Bombyx mori: one gene and its partners. The protein of the gene in region 2 purifies or fractionates together with the protein of the main gene of each other region. This does not show direct contact. Links are inferred from orthologs where the notes say so. Each region holds a gene or a part of one and is shown on either strand. Other genes may lie near its edges.

Evidence for each region. The genes of interacting proteins can lie anywhere in the genome.
Region 1: the proteins of signal recognition particle receptor beta subunit (region 2) and ring finger protein 5 purify together in Homo sapiens (affinity purification with mass spectrometry; 3 studies listed by BioGRID and IntAct, with this or other methods). This does not show direct contact. The link is inferred for Bombyx mori from reciprocal best matches to the Homo sapiens genes SRPRB and RNF185.
Region 3: the proteins of signal recognition particle receptor beta subunit (region 2) and syntaxin-18 purify together in Homo sapiens (affinity purification with mass spectrometry; 3 studies listed by BioGRID and IntAct, counting the BioPlex papers as one, with this or other methods). This does not show direct contact. The link is inferred for Bombyx mori from reciprocal best matches to the Homo sapiens genes SRPRB and STX18.

Annotation. Positions count from the first base shown.
Region 1 is NC_085116.1:17,094,576-17,098,882, forward strand, and holds the start of ring finger protein 5, read right to left. Parts: upstream 2,806-4,307; 5' UTR 2,728-2,805; intron 2,529-2,727; 5' UTR 2,525-2,528; coding exon 2,370-2,524; intron 1,008-2,369; coding exon 869-1,007; intron 1-868. Other genes in the region: protein IWS1 homolog, read left to right, coding at 4,235-4,307. UniProt on the Homo sapiens protein: E3 ubiquitin-protein ligase that regulates selective mitochondrial autophagy by mediating 'Lys-63'-linked polyubiquitination of BNIP1.
Region 2 is NC_085114.1:6,494,497-6,498,788, forward strand, and holds the start of signal recognition particle receptor beta subunit, read left to right. Parts: upstream 1-1,487; 5' UTR 1,488-1,873; coding exon 1,874-1,976; intron 1,977-2,633; coding exon 2,634-2,800; intron 2,801-3,624; coding exon 3,625-3,764; intron 3,765-4,292. UniProt on the Homo sapiens protein: Component of the signal recognition particle (SRP) complex receptor (SR). Ensures, in conjunction with the SRP complex, the correct targeting of the nascent secretory proteins to the endoplasmic reticulum membrane system.
Region 3 is NC_085127.1:13,549,929-13,553,456, forward strand, and holds syntaxin-18, read right to left. Parts: upstream 2,265-3,528; 5' UTR 2,125-2,264; coding exon 1,348-2,124; intron 713-1,347; coding exon 524-712; 3' UTR 506-523; downstream 1-505. UniProt on the Homo sapiens protein: Syntaxin that may be involved in targeting and fusion of Golgi-derived retrograde transport vesicles with the ER.

The DNA.
Region 1 (4,307 bases), on a different chromosome or scaffold from region 2:
ACTTTATATGAGCAGCAATCACTGATCAGTGGACCACAGGGTCCACTTGGTTTTAGATGCCTGTCAGTCTATATCACCAAGTAAGTGCCACGGACCACACTAAAGTGAGGTGAATGTATCAATACTATACTCAATAGTCACATATCTGGGCATGAAGTTAAGGTCTCAATTATATTGCTTCCAGCATTTTAATCGCCCTGCAACACTGCTTTGTAGCATAAGGGATACGACGGTAATACCAACTTGTGTGGGCTCTTATTACGCCCAACCACCAGTAATGATGCAAATCATAAAAATGTGCGGATTTCATTTTTATCATACAATGTTAAGTATAGTCTTCAATATATAAATAATTAATGCTAGGATTTTTTTATCGGGTTGATTAGAACATTGGCATAATTGATTCAAATAAAATAGGAGTGATAAGCTTTAAGTTAATTTACAAAAAAAAAGTATTTCTTCACTAGTTTCAAAAGCTAACAAAATACGCTTTTATAGAAAATCCAACTAAAAATAGAAAATAAATTTTAATAAATTTGAATTAAAAATAGTGTAAGAAAAAATGATTTTATTGTAAAAAAGCATGGGGTGCTTTTCAGGATATTATCAAAATAACCCTTCTACTCATATCTGTTCATAAAATATTTATAACTACTTGAACTAGTCGTTAAGCCGACGTTTTTAAGGTCAAAATCATGTTCAGAGATTCCGTTACTCACTAACATACATACATCTGAAGTTTAAAAAAGTTTCATCTGAAGTTAAAAAAGTTTCAACTGTGTTGTTGTTGACAATATTATGCTTCAGAAGTATAGAAACAACAAAAGTGGTTTCTATAATTTTACATTATTTTTTTTGTATTACTTACCTTGTTTCTTGGGTCTTCCTGCTTTGTGTTTCCTCTTCCATAGAGCGGGATCACTTTCTCTCTGCTGATGGCAGCCTTGCAAACAGGACAGACTTGCCGACTGGGTCTGGTTTCCAACCATTGATGTAAACATGGCCAGCTGCATTGTAAACAATATACCATCATAGTCTCTTTGAAAAACACTAGTGCGCAATGAGTAGCAAGTGAACACAAGATATGGTTAAACTCAGACCTTGCATTATAAATCATATTATATAATCTCATAAAATATGCAAAGGTTCTCTAACAATTTAACAAGTTCAAGTTTTCTCTGTTGCCAATCAGCTGACTTCATTTCTCCCATTGAATTCATTTGGCATGAACGACTGGGAGGGTAAAAAATTGTTCACCAACAAACTCAATGTTTTGAAATTATTGGAAAGTAAGTGGAAAAAGCTGAATAAAGAATATTTCAGGAAATTTATTTTGCCTAGAGATATGTGTGAAGATAATTAAAAAAACACGAGGGACATTTCAATGAGGCTAAAGTTTAAATAGGTAAATATTGATATTGTATGTTAAATTCTTATTTGGTTTAGTTTTTAATTTTACTATTTTTTATTAGACTTAACTATGTTTGTTTCTAAACAGTGTTGTGTTTTTAAGTAGCTCCAAATATATAATATTATTTTAAACTTTTATATGATAGTGTATATGAAATTTATTTTACAATACAGTATTTTCATAAGCATAAATTTTTTTTTATGTACTGATTAACAGTAATATAACAGTTTATGTTGAACAAGTTCTTATCTAGAAATTCAGTAACTTTTCTGTTATAGTAGGTAAACTAAGCCAGCTAAACTGATCTGAGCCCCTGTCTAAAGAGTGTGCATCACTATGGTCCAATAATTGGCCCTACCAGCTTGAGGACGCTTTACCAGTAGATAAAAAGCTGTATTTACTTTTTACAATATAGGAAAATTTATTTTATAGCCTTCTTTGGCTCTCCTTGACAAAACAAAACTATAGTCTTGAGAGACCCTGACTATCAAATCAATCAAATCTGAGAAAACATCAGAGGGCTGATGCTAAAGAGAAAAAGCATTCAATTTTCAAATGTACATATTGTATGCCACCACCTTCTTGAGAGACCATGGCTCTACTAATCTATTTAATGTAAATCCTGATTTTAAAGATCTGTTTTAATATAGAATTAATTTTGATTAAAATAAATTGTCTTTTAACATTTTTAATAAATCAATAAATAGATAGATACAATTATGTTGTAGCACAAAGCACAGCTGTTCCCATTCATAGTTCATTCCATTCAGTGTATTGATTTTACTGCATTACAAGGTCAATGGTAAGTAATGAGAATGAATAATAATGAGCATAGTTTAATGCAAATTATTCAAATGATATTTTACCTTTTCAATAGTTGTGAATATTCATAAAAAATCTTTCAGCCATTAGATTTAAATCTAATTATTTACTGTATTAATTACGACAATGAGCTCACCAGAAGAGGTGGCCGCACATACTGACGACTGCATCACGGGCTGTGTCCAGACAGATGTTGCATTCTAGCATTCTTTCGTCATGTTTGTCTTCTTCGCCACCAGCGTCGCCCCCAGGCGCCGAGGGGCTCGCTCGCGCTTGACTAGTCTCCGCCATTTCCCTACATTACGAAATATTTAATAATCACAACTTGACATTCTTTTTTGGAACTGAAATTTTCAATTTATGAAGCGTTATCACGATACTGGTGTAGTGACGTTCGCTTGGATGTTATTGTGACACGACAAAATATATTCAAATTATAAATTTATAACAAGTTATTGTTTGCAGAGAAAGGTCAATAACAATACAACACTTGCCACTTTAAATTTGATGTTTGAGTTTATTATTTCATATAGAAACTTGTTAATAAATAAATAAATCACATTTCCAATCCCGTGGTATGCTGATTGCTGATCTGTCAGTAGATGTCATTCAGCGTCAAAAAATCTTGATTGTCAATTGTCAGCTGTAAGGACAAGGGTCCCATGACAGTCGATGTTTATGGAAAATATTGGAACTCGCAGTACATATCTTTATCTTTTCTACAGTATACGATATCTGATATGGGAAGTAATTACAAAAAAGCGATTAGGATTTATTTTATTTCAATTATTTTTTAAATAAGGAAAGATTTGTAATTATTTATTTCGTACCTTTACCAATGAATGGAAAATTATTAAAATTATGCCTCTTTAAAAATAGAAGTATATTTCTAACACTAGGTAATACTAAATTAACCCTTAAGATCAGATGAGTTGGTTGTATAATAGAGTTATCTAATTATCTAGGGTAGGCCACACGCTGGTGTTTACACGCACTTTTTATTTATGTTGTCATAATTACTAAAACAGTACGAGTACATTTTGAAAACAAGATAAAAAACCACTTATTAGGTATATTAGTTTAATCAAATATAAAATTACTGAAAAAATTATGTTTTCATGAAAATTAGTTTCATTTAAGTATATCATAAAATATTTCAAAACACCTATGCATAAATTGTTATTCATATCTACGAAATGAAATTAAATGAAACGGGTTGAGAAGGGATGAAATCTCAATAGAATGGTGGTTATTTACGGAAACTTTTTCAGTCTACTTTTTAAAAGAACCCAAGAAGCTACGTCCAGCAACTTTGTTTCATTTTCCTACATTTGTGCACGTTAACAGAGGATAAACAGTTAATAAATCTTCTTTATTATACATTTAAACATGAAGAAACGTTAACACAAACACAATTCTATTCGCGCTCCCGTCAAAAACTACTCAAGAATTAATTTTGACCAACCAAAGACATTTTTTTTTGGTACAATTTTTCCTTAGGCCTATACAACCTTGTCATTTTTAAAAAAAGCCGAGCCCTTATATGATTTATATTATGTCCTGAAATAAAAAAATCATTACGGCCGAAGCCAAGTCCTTTAAAATTTCTTCCTGAAATAAATTTTTTAATAAGGCCGCAGCCAAGTCTTGTATTATTCCAATCCTGGTACCAACCAAAGACAATAATAATCACTACATACCGTAAACAACCATTAATCTTTACTCTTTGCTATTAATCAATGAAATCAACGAGAACCAAAAGGAAAATGGTTGAACGATCGCTACTCTTAGCACCCATTCGCCGATAGAGAGAAATCCAGTTTTAAAACAATATCGTAATTCTTTATTTAAAACGTCTAATAGATAGTTTTGACTCTAAAAGTAAGTTTTTTTGAAATGAAGTGCAAAATATGTTGAAAAACAAGTGACGTCACGTCAAGAATCAGCTGAGGTGCGAGGGAAGTTCTTCTTAAAGGTGGTGGTAGAAAAGAATCATTAAAAATGGGAGGTGCAGTGAGTTCAGGGCGTGATAATAATGAGTTGATTGACAACCTGATGAGAGGCAAATACATCC
Region 2 (4,292 bases):
ATACCAATTGAAACAGCTGTCCACCAACACCCCCAAGTATCTGATATTATCAGTCCTAGCAATCTCCGAGCAATTACATGCGGAATATCGTCCATTACATACATGGGCCTTGAGAGTAATAGAATCACGCGGGGGTTGGACAGATTTTCTGCTTGCAAATGTTAAAAATTTGGTTTTGTCAATGTTTAGAGTTAATAGGTTGCGGTTCAGCCTAACAGGGTAATAACTGTGATTTATTAACTGTTTAATATCTGTGAAAGTGCACAAATGTGGGAAAATGAAAGCCGCTGGACGTAACTTTCCGGTATCCTCCAAAAAGTCCACTGAAAAAGTCTCAGTACCTACATAAATGACCACCATTTTACTGAGATTATATTTCATCTTTGGAGGTTATACGTAAGGAGAACCATCTCAGTATATTAAAAAGTGTCCATAAGCCGTTACACTAGCTGTTACACTTAAGCGCCATAACCTGTTACACTTCTGGTATATCCCCCGACCGCTCTGGGGGAAGGTGTAACGCGGCGCCATCAAAGCGGGCTCTCGGCCCGCTGAACGAGGGAACCGGTGGTCGTGTCGCTGGCGGCCGCCGGTCCGGCGTCCGTGGGACGGTGGGATGGATGTAATGTGCTCTGCGTCAACCCTGTCCCGCCGTTTCAATAGCCCCGACTGGGCTCCGGCCCGGTCCGAGGTAGGGCGCCGGTTGTGAGTGGCAGGAGTTTTTAGTGAGGTTCAACTCCCACATACCCCACCTGCCACGCGGGTGGGGATCCGGCGATTTTCTCCTGTGAAAAAAAAAAAAAAAAGACTGGTATATTTATTCCGATTTGCACTGCGAGCATTGTAAAGTGTGACGTCAAATTAGTATACAGCCAAGCCGTTCCTGTACAGTTACAGCTTCGATCAACAATAGTAACTGTTGATCGAAGAGTTACAGCATACTGTCATCGACGTTGTCATAGCGGTGTTTTCACTTCAGCAAAAAAATCTTGTTTAAATTTATTTATATTTGAAAATAGAATATTCAAGTTATTGTCAGTTTAATTAATCGCTTAAAGTAAGTATATTTTTAGTAAAAGAAAATATTGATTTTCCAGCAATTTCATCTATAATAACTTAATAACCGTATTATAGAAATGAGGTTATGCACAGTAAAAGTGCTGAAGTGAAGATTTATGAAATCATGTATCATTTCTCCGTTCCATTCACCATCATGTATCATCAATCATTCCTTAAGTTACTACGACTATATACTGTCAGTCCTTAACGTAGGTAACGAATAGCAGTGAGAGCACTGAAGAGTGCTCGCAGTGTAAATCGAAACATAGCCTTCACTGCAATCCAGCACACTACACTCAGTTTAAAACTTCTATATTCATACTATTTCCCCTTGCGACACTAGCGCTAATTCGGTGATTTTCGAACTATAATTTGCTGTTTACAGATGCGACACTTTTTCAACTTGTCCCCTATACAAGATGGCGCCTCCTTACCTCTACCCTCCATAATTTCATCCCATCTCATTTCACATGATTTCATTTCATTTTAATTAATTTCAGTTCATTTCATTTCATGCCATGTTTCATATTATCAACTTCATTTCATAAAATCATTTTTCATATAAAGAAATATATAAAAGATTAGGCTATATGGTATGATACCTTTGCCTTTCCAATTGGAAAATAAAACTACTACTAATCTATGGTATACAGTTTAAGTGTATAATCTATGGTAGTATACACGAAATCACGAAACACTAGACCATAGACTATACTTAACTTTAGACCCTAGAGCAGTACATTCACTTTGTTTAATTTTTTAAAGTACATATTAATTTAGTGACTTAGTGAGTGTGAAGCGAAAGAACTCTACAATGGAATCTGAAGTGGTTAAAGAAAAGATTCATACAGAACCGATCCTGAACGATCCACGATACATAACCTTACTTAGCCTTATTGTTCTAGCAGTAACCCTCAGTAAGTTGATATTTTGAATTTATTAACTACACAGATCGTTTCTGCTTGTGTATTTTTAAACTCAAGTTATTGTGCCATAGGTAATTTGGTGCTAAGGGGTTTGTTAAATGTTTAAAGCCATAAAGTGATTTTGGAGGGTAATCTATTTATCTACAAACATTCTAAGGCACTGCCAAGTAATTAGTGACTTTACAGGAAGGTCTTGTTAATTTGCAGCATGGCTAACTCAGTTCAGAATGTCAACATTGGGCAGCTCTAGAATCTAGTTTGCTGGTAAACAGATGTGATGATTTTTCCAATATGCTAACTTCACATTTTTTCTGATATGTGGCTCGAGTAACCTCACAGATAATAGTGATAAGTAGGGTTACTAAGTTGTCTACGTAGTTTATGGGTGCATTATTAAAACTTTTTATTCGATTGCTTAGAAAACAACAGAAAAACAGGCTTGTTTGCTTAATATTTATTTCATATTGAATTTTCACTTGACAAATTTTGAAAGTAGAATTGTTGTAATCAGCTTAAAAATGATGCTTTACAGTCATAAAGCTATTGGGGTCAAATGTTCAACACCATGTTTACAACAGAACTTGTTGGCTAAATATAAATGCTGTAGTTTATAAATAATCATATTTTTAATAAAAAAATTTATTTCAGTATTTTGGTGGATTTTCTCTCGAAGGTATACTCTTCGCAACTCAGTATTGTTAATGGGCCTATCAGACTCTGGCAAGACTTTGCTGTTTGTAAGACTCGCTTACTCTCAATACAGACAGACTTTTACTTCTATGAAAGAAAATATTGAAGAGTATATAACTTCTAATGTTAGTATTTGTATAAGTATTTTAAAGTTTTAGGTTACTAAACTATAAATGAACGACGAGATAACCATGAATATATAAACTAACGCATGATGTCATGTGTTGCAATTTTGACTGTGGTTTAATTGGAAAATCGTTAGAAATATATATTGGAAATTATTTTATTTAGTGATTTAGCATATTAATCATTATAATTTAACAAAAATAGTAATTGATTAATTATTTTGACTCATTATTGAAGATCCATCACTTCGATAAAGCGGCACGACACGAGAACCCTCTCATCGTGGCCGCTGGTAACTACATTCCCGATCCTGTGGACAGAATGGAAAGCAGTCGACGTCGCCCAAAACACGTCATCTCGGATCCTCCCGATCCACTAATGGTGCTTTTAGGTACTTCAAGCACCGGTCACCGTTCTCGTCGAACCCGTCGCTCTCGACGAAGGGCTCGACGAGTAAATTAACTCTCAGACACAGCCCACTGAGTTTCTCGCCGGATCTTCTCAGTGGGTCGTGTTTCCGATCCGGTGGTAGATTCTGCGAAGCACGGCTCTTGCTAGGGTTCGTGTTAGCAACGTCATCAGGTTTGAGCCCCGTGAGCTCACCTACTAGCCACGGTTACGCTGAAATAGCCTCTAAGGCTATCAGCTAAGGTAGGAAAAAAAAAAAAGATCCATAATAACTAAGTTTGTTTTGTTTTGGTTGCCTATTGAAAGTGGTCTGGTCTTATGATTGGCAATGGGTTTCCCATTGTTGGTGTCCATGATTTCAAGGAGTAAAAGAAATATTTTATTAACTTACCTAACTGGATTTTTATTATTACAGAAAACATTGAAAATAGTTGATCTGCCTGGACAAGAGAGACTGAGAAATAAATTCTTTGAACAGCACAAGAGTAGTGCTAAGGGAATTGTGTTTGTGATTGATTCTATCAATATACAGAAAGAAATCAGAGATGTAGCAGAGTAAGTAAAGGCAGTAGACACTCAATGAAAGTCACTACATATGGAGATTCGCCTGGGCGAATGCATCTTTTTATAATTACTTTTATTCGTTGTTTGTTCTGAATTAAATTCTAATCACGAGTATAGCAGCATATTATCACTATAATCCTCACCCCCACCTCCGTCTTGGGGGAGGCTTATGTACAGCAGTGAATGTCAGAGGGCTAATTTTTTTTATTGTTTGTTCCAAACCACATTAATAAAGCAACATTAATCATCACTGAACTACTACTTACTGGAAATCAACATCTAATAGTTTCGTTCTTACCTCTGAAGAAGTTAAGGTATTGTTTTGAGAAACCGGTCTTATGTGACCACAGTTTCTTGATTGTATCTCAATTAATAAAAATAAATGAATAAATGTTTTTAGTAGGATTTATTAAGTTTTGTGGCCAGTATTTAATAATTTCAACAACAGAAATTAAATTGTCTGCATTGCTCCAAATTTGCCTGTGAGTGAGATTAATCATGTCTATGTGTTTACAACCA
Region 3 (3,528 bases), on a different chromosome or scaffold from region 2:
GACAGTTTGGACTTTGACGTTTAAATAGATAGTCCAAGAGAAAATAGCACATACAGCCAAGTTAGTCGACTGGTAAAAAACCGAAGTTATATTTGTAACTAAATTAATAAAATAGTGGTATTTTTAAAATAATATAGATGGTACAACGTTAATTAACAGCATTTTCTCATGTTATCAACTAAGATTCATATAAGTTAAAGTTAGTAGCATAAGTATAATAGTTAGTTAGTATATGTATAGTTGTATTTTAAACAACTAAAAAAATGTTTGGCTAAAGTATAGATCGAAACTCTAGCAATAATAGTGTATATTTTATATAACCGATAGTGAAATATTTGCGTATTCACATAAAAAAACATAAGAAGCCTCTGATAAAACGTGTTTATTTAAAGCGAAAATATTAACATCATTGATTCCAAAATTTCAATTAAGATCATTTTATTATCATCAAAACTGTTCCTTTTTTTTGTAAAATTATCATTATTTAGAAAATGAAACACAAAACCACCAGTAACTACTAAATTTAATCATTATACCAATCTAGGAACAGCAAACTGAACGACATGACCAGTAAGAAGAACAGAACATATACTCTTAGGCCTGCGTTTCTTTGTATAGCTTGCTTAATCTGTTCATTGGCATCCTTAACGTTTTCAGTTGCCCCGACAACTGTATTCGATATTCTATCTATGTCTTGTTCTTGTTGTAAAACCTGAAACATATTTACACTTTTTACATTTTATGTCAGACAAACTGTTTGTATATCTCATTATTAAAAGCTACCTGCCTACCGCTACTGTTAATTATACTTTTACAAACAGTAATATCAATTTGAATCTAAATAAATCAATTAAAGTATCATGGATTTGAAAAATTTATTTACATCCAATAGTTTACGTATGAAAGAACATCCAAATATGAATATTTTAAGATCAAGATAGTTATGATATGTATGTACCAGTATGTGCAATTTTATAAAGATATAATACACAGACTATAATAAACAACATTCATCCTCTCTGGTGGCAGATATTCTTAACCGCTACTGTTAATTATACTTTTACAAACAGTAATATCAATTTGAATCTAAATAAATCAATTAAAGTATCATGGATTTGAAAAATTTATTTACATCCAATAGTTTACGTATGAAAGAACATCCAAATATGAATATTTTAAGATCAAGATAGTTATGATATGTATGTACCAGTATGTGCAATTTTATAAAGATATAATACACAGACTATAATAAACAACATTCATCCTCTCTGGTGGCAGATATTCTTTTCTTGTAATCTGTTTTTTTTTTTAAATGGCTTATGTATTTATTCAATTTTAACCTTTTACCTTTTCAGTAAATATTTCTTGAAGTTCTGCAATGTGTAGTACTTTGCTTTCAATTTGTTTAACTTCTTCCGTCATACTGTTTAGTTCATTTAACAGCTGTACATTCTCCGACTCAAACATTTGCAACTCTTCTGAAGTCAACTCTCCTTCATCAGACATAATTGCCATCTCATTCTCTGATAAGTCTAATTTTGTTTTTGTATTTTCTTTTTCATCTTCTGTCTCATTCTCTTTTTCTATTACCTTATCTAGTGTAAACGGATTAGGAATACTAGATTTGGTCGCTGGTAGCTCAAGTCTAGACAATTTTCTCATATCTAAAGCTCGCTTAACTCTCATTGCTTTCAATTCACTATGCACTTTACAAACAGCTTTTAAATAAGCATCAATTAAATCTACGACTGAGTCCATATATTCCCTAGTTTGTGGGGTCACTGTAGTTCTTCGATTATCATTCCTGAACTCTTTTAGCAGGTGTGAGCATGTGTTCATGATACGTTGCGCACCGGTGTCTATTTGGTCGCGCTCTTCATCAGACATATCGTCTCCAGTAACATTATTGAAGAAGCTTAAATATTTATCGCGGTGTTCCAATAAAAAGTCCCTAAGCTTTGTAATTTGTGAACAAATATCCTTAGCTGTTGCCATGAAAGCATTTTTTGATTTCACCCTCAATATGCGTTGCTTATCTTCGCTAATCGGACTGTGTATGCCGAAAGCCTTGTTACGAGTTTTAACAGTTTTTATGCAAGCCTTAAATAATGGTGTTATATCCATTTTAAGAGGATTTGTTTATGTTTTAAATGTTTTTTCCTTCAATAACACGTAAGTTTTACTCGTTTTTGACAAATTGAATTGACAAATCAATAATGTCCTCACAGAGTAGACACTAACCAAATTCTCTTTTTAAAATTATCCAATTGAAAAGGCAAAGTAAGCATGGCTTTAAGTAGTAATAAATATTTTAATAGTAATAAATATTTTAATCTGTGATGGCTACATGGACTTTTTGGCGGGAACACGTGGAGTGAAGTTGTGTGATTTGTTTTATTTTGTCTATTTAGTGTTTCTTCATGTTAGAACTGGTCTTCTTGCCATCCAACCATCTAACCATCATAAGTTTATTAAGAAGAATAGTTGTTGCCTAGCATTAATTAGTTAGTCGTATAATTTTATGTGAAAAAATAAAAAGTCAGTATGTACATCCGAAGAAAGTTATCAGGTCATAAAATCCCTTAAAAAAATTATTATACACAATCTGATCTGAAGTCTTTTGCTCGTAAATTTACAGTAGCCGAAAGCATTTCAGATCGAATGGAGACGGAAGAGAGACAGAAATAAATGTTACACCACTCTATAAAGCTTCTGTCGCTTATACAGGGTGCCCTAAAAAATAGTGTCAAGCCGAAGTCCAGAGGTAGAACATCACTAGGGCTATCCGAACCACCCCCATGTACGTTCCGCGATTTTTAATAGTTTTCGAGTTATGATTTTTTAAATATATTTTTTTATTTCTATGTTAAGGCACTTTTTTGCTCACTGTGGCGAGAATAGATAAGGTACATGCCTGATATTTGAACACTTGCTTTTTTTTAAAACTCGGTTTCAAAGTTTAGAAAAAATACACAATTTTTAACTTTTTTGTTTCTTTTTTTTATTAGGTTTCACATTTGTGTTATAATGTATGACATATCAGCTATGAGAGCTTCGCTCAGAGCGTGGTGCAGCAGACACGATCAAATTTAGGTCTGTTAGAGAACTGTCTAAGCATGAAGATGCTTAGACAGTTCTCAGTTCAGTTGGGTGAATTGAATTTAATTCAGTTCAACTGTTGGAGTTTGAATATAAATGTAATGGCAGGCAGCACTTGACGCATGATTACAGATTTCGAATATTAGAATTATTTTAAACGTTTAAAAAACAGATGATTGTATTCTCGTAAGAAAAAGTCAATACTTCTAATCTAGACACGGTCAAAGAAACATGTAAGAAGTTTTATAAAAATATAAAGATAATAATTTTAAAATGGTGTTCAAACTATCTGCAATATAATTATAATGAAGCAGTGTGTTTTTAAATAGCCCTCCATCACCTACAGAACCCAATCACCTCAAATTTAACCATCCAACATCAACCCATTGAAGACAGAGATTTAAAAGATATATATACAAAGGCAATAAA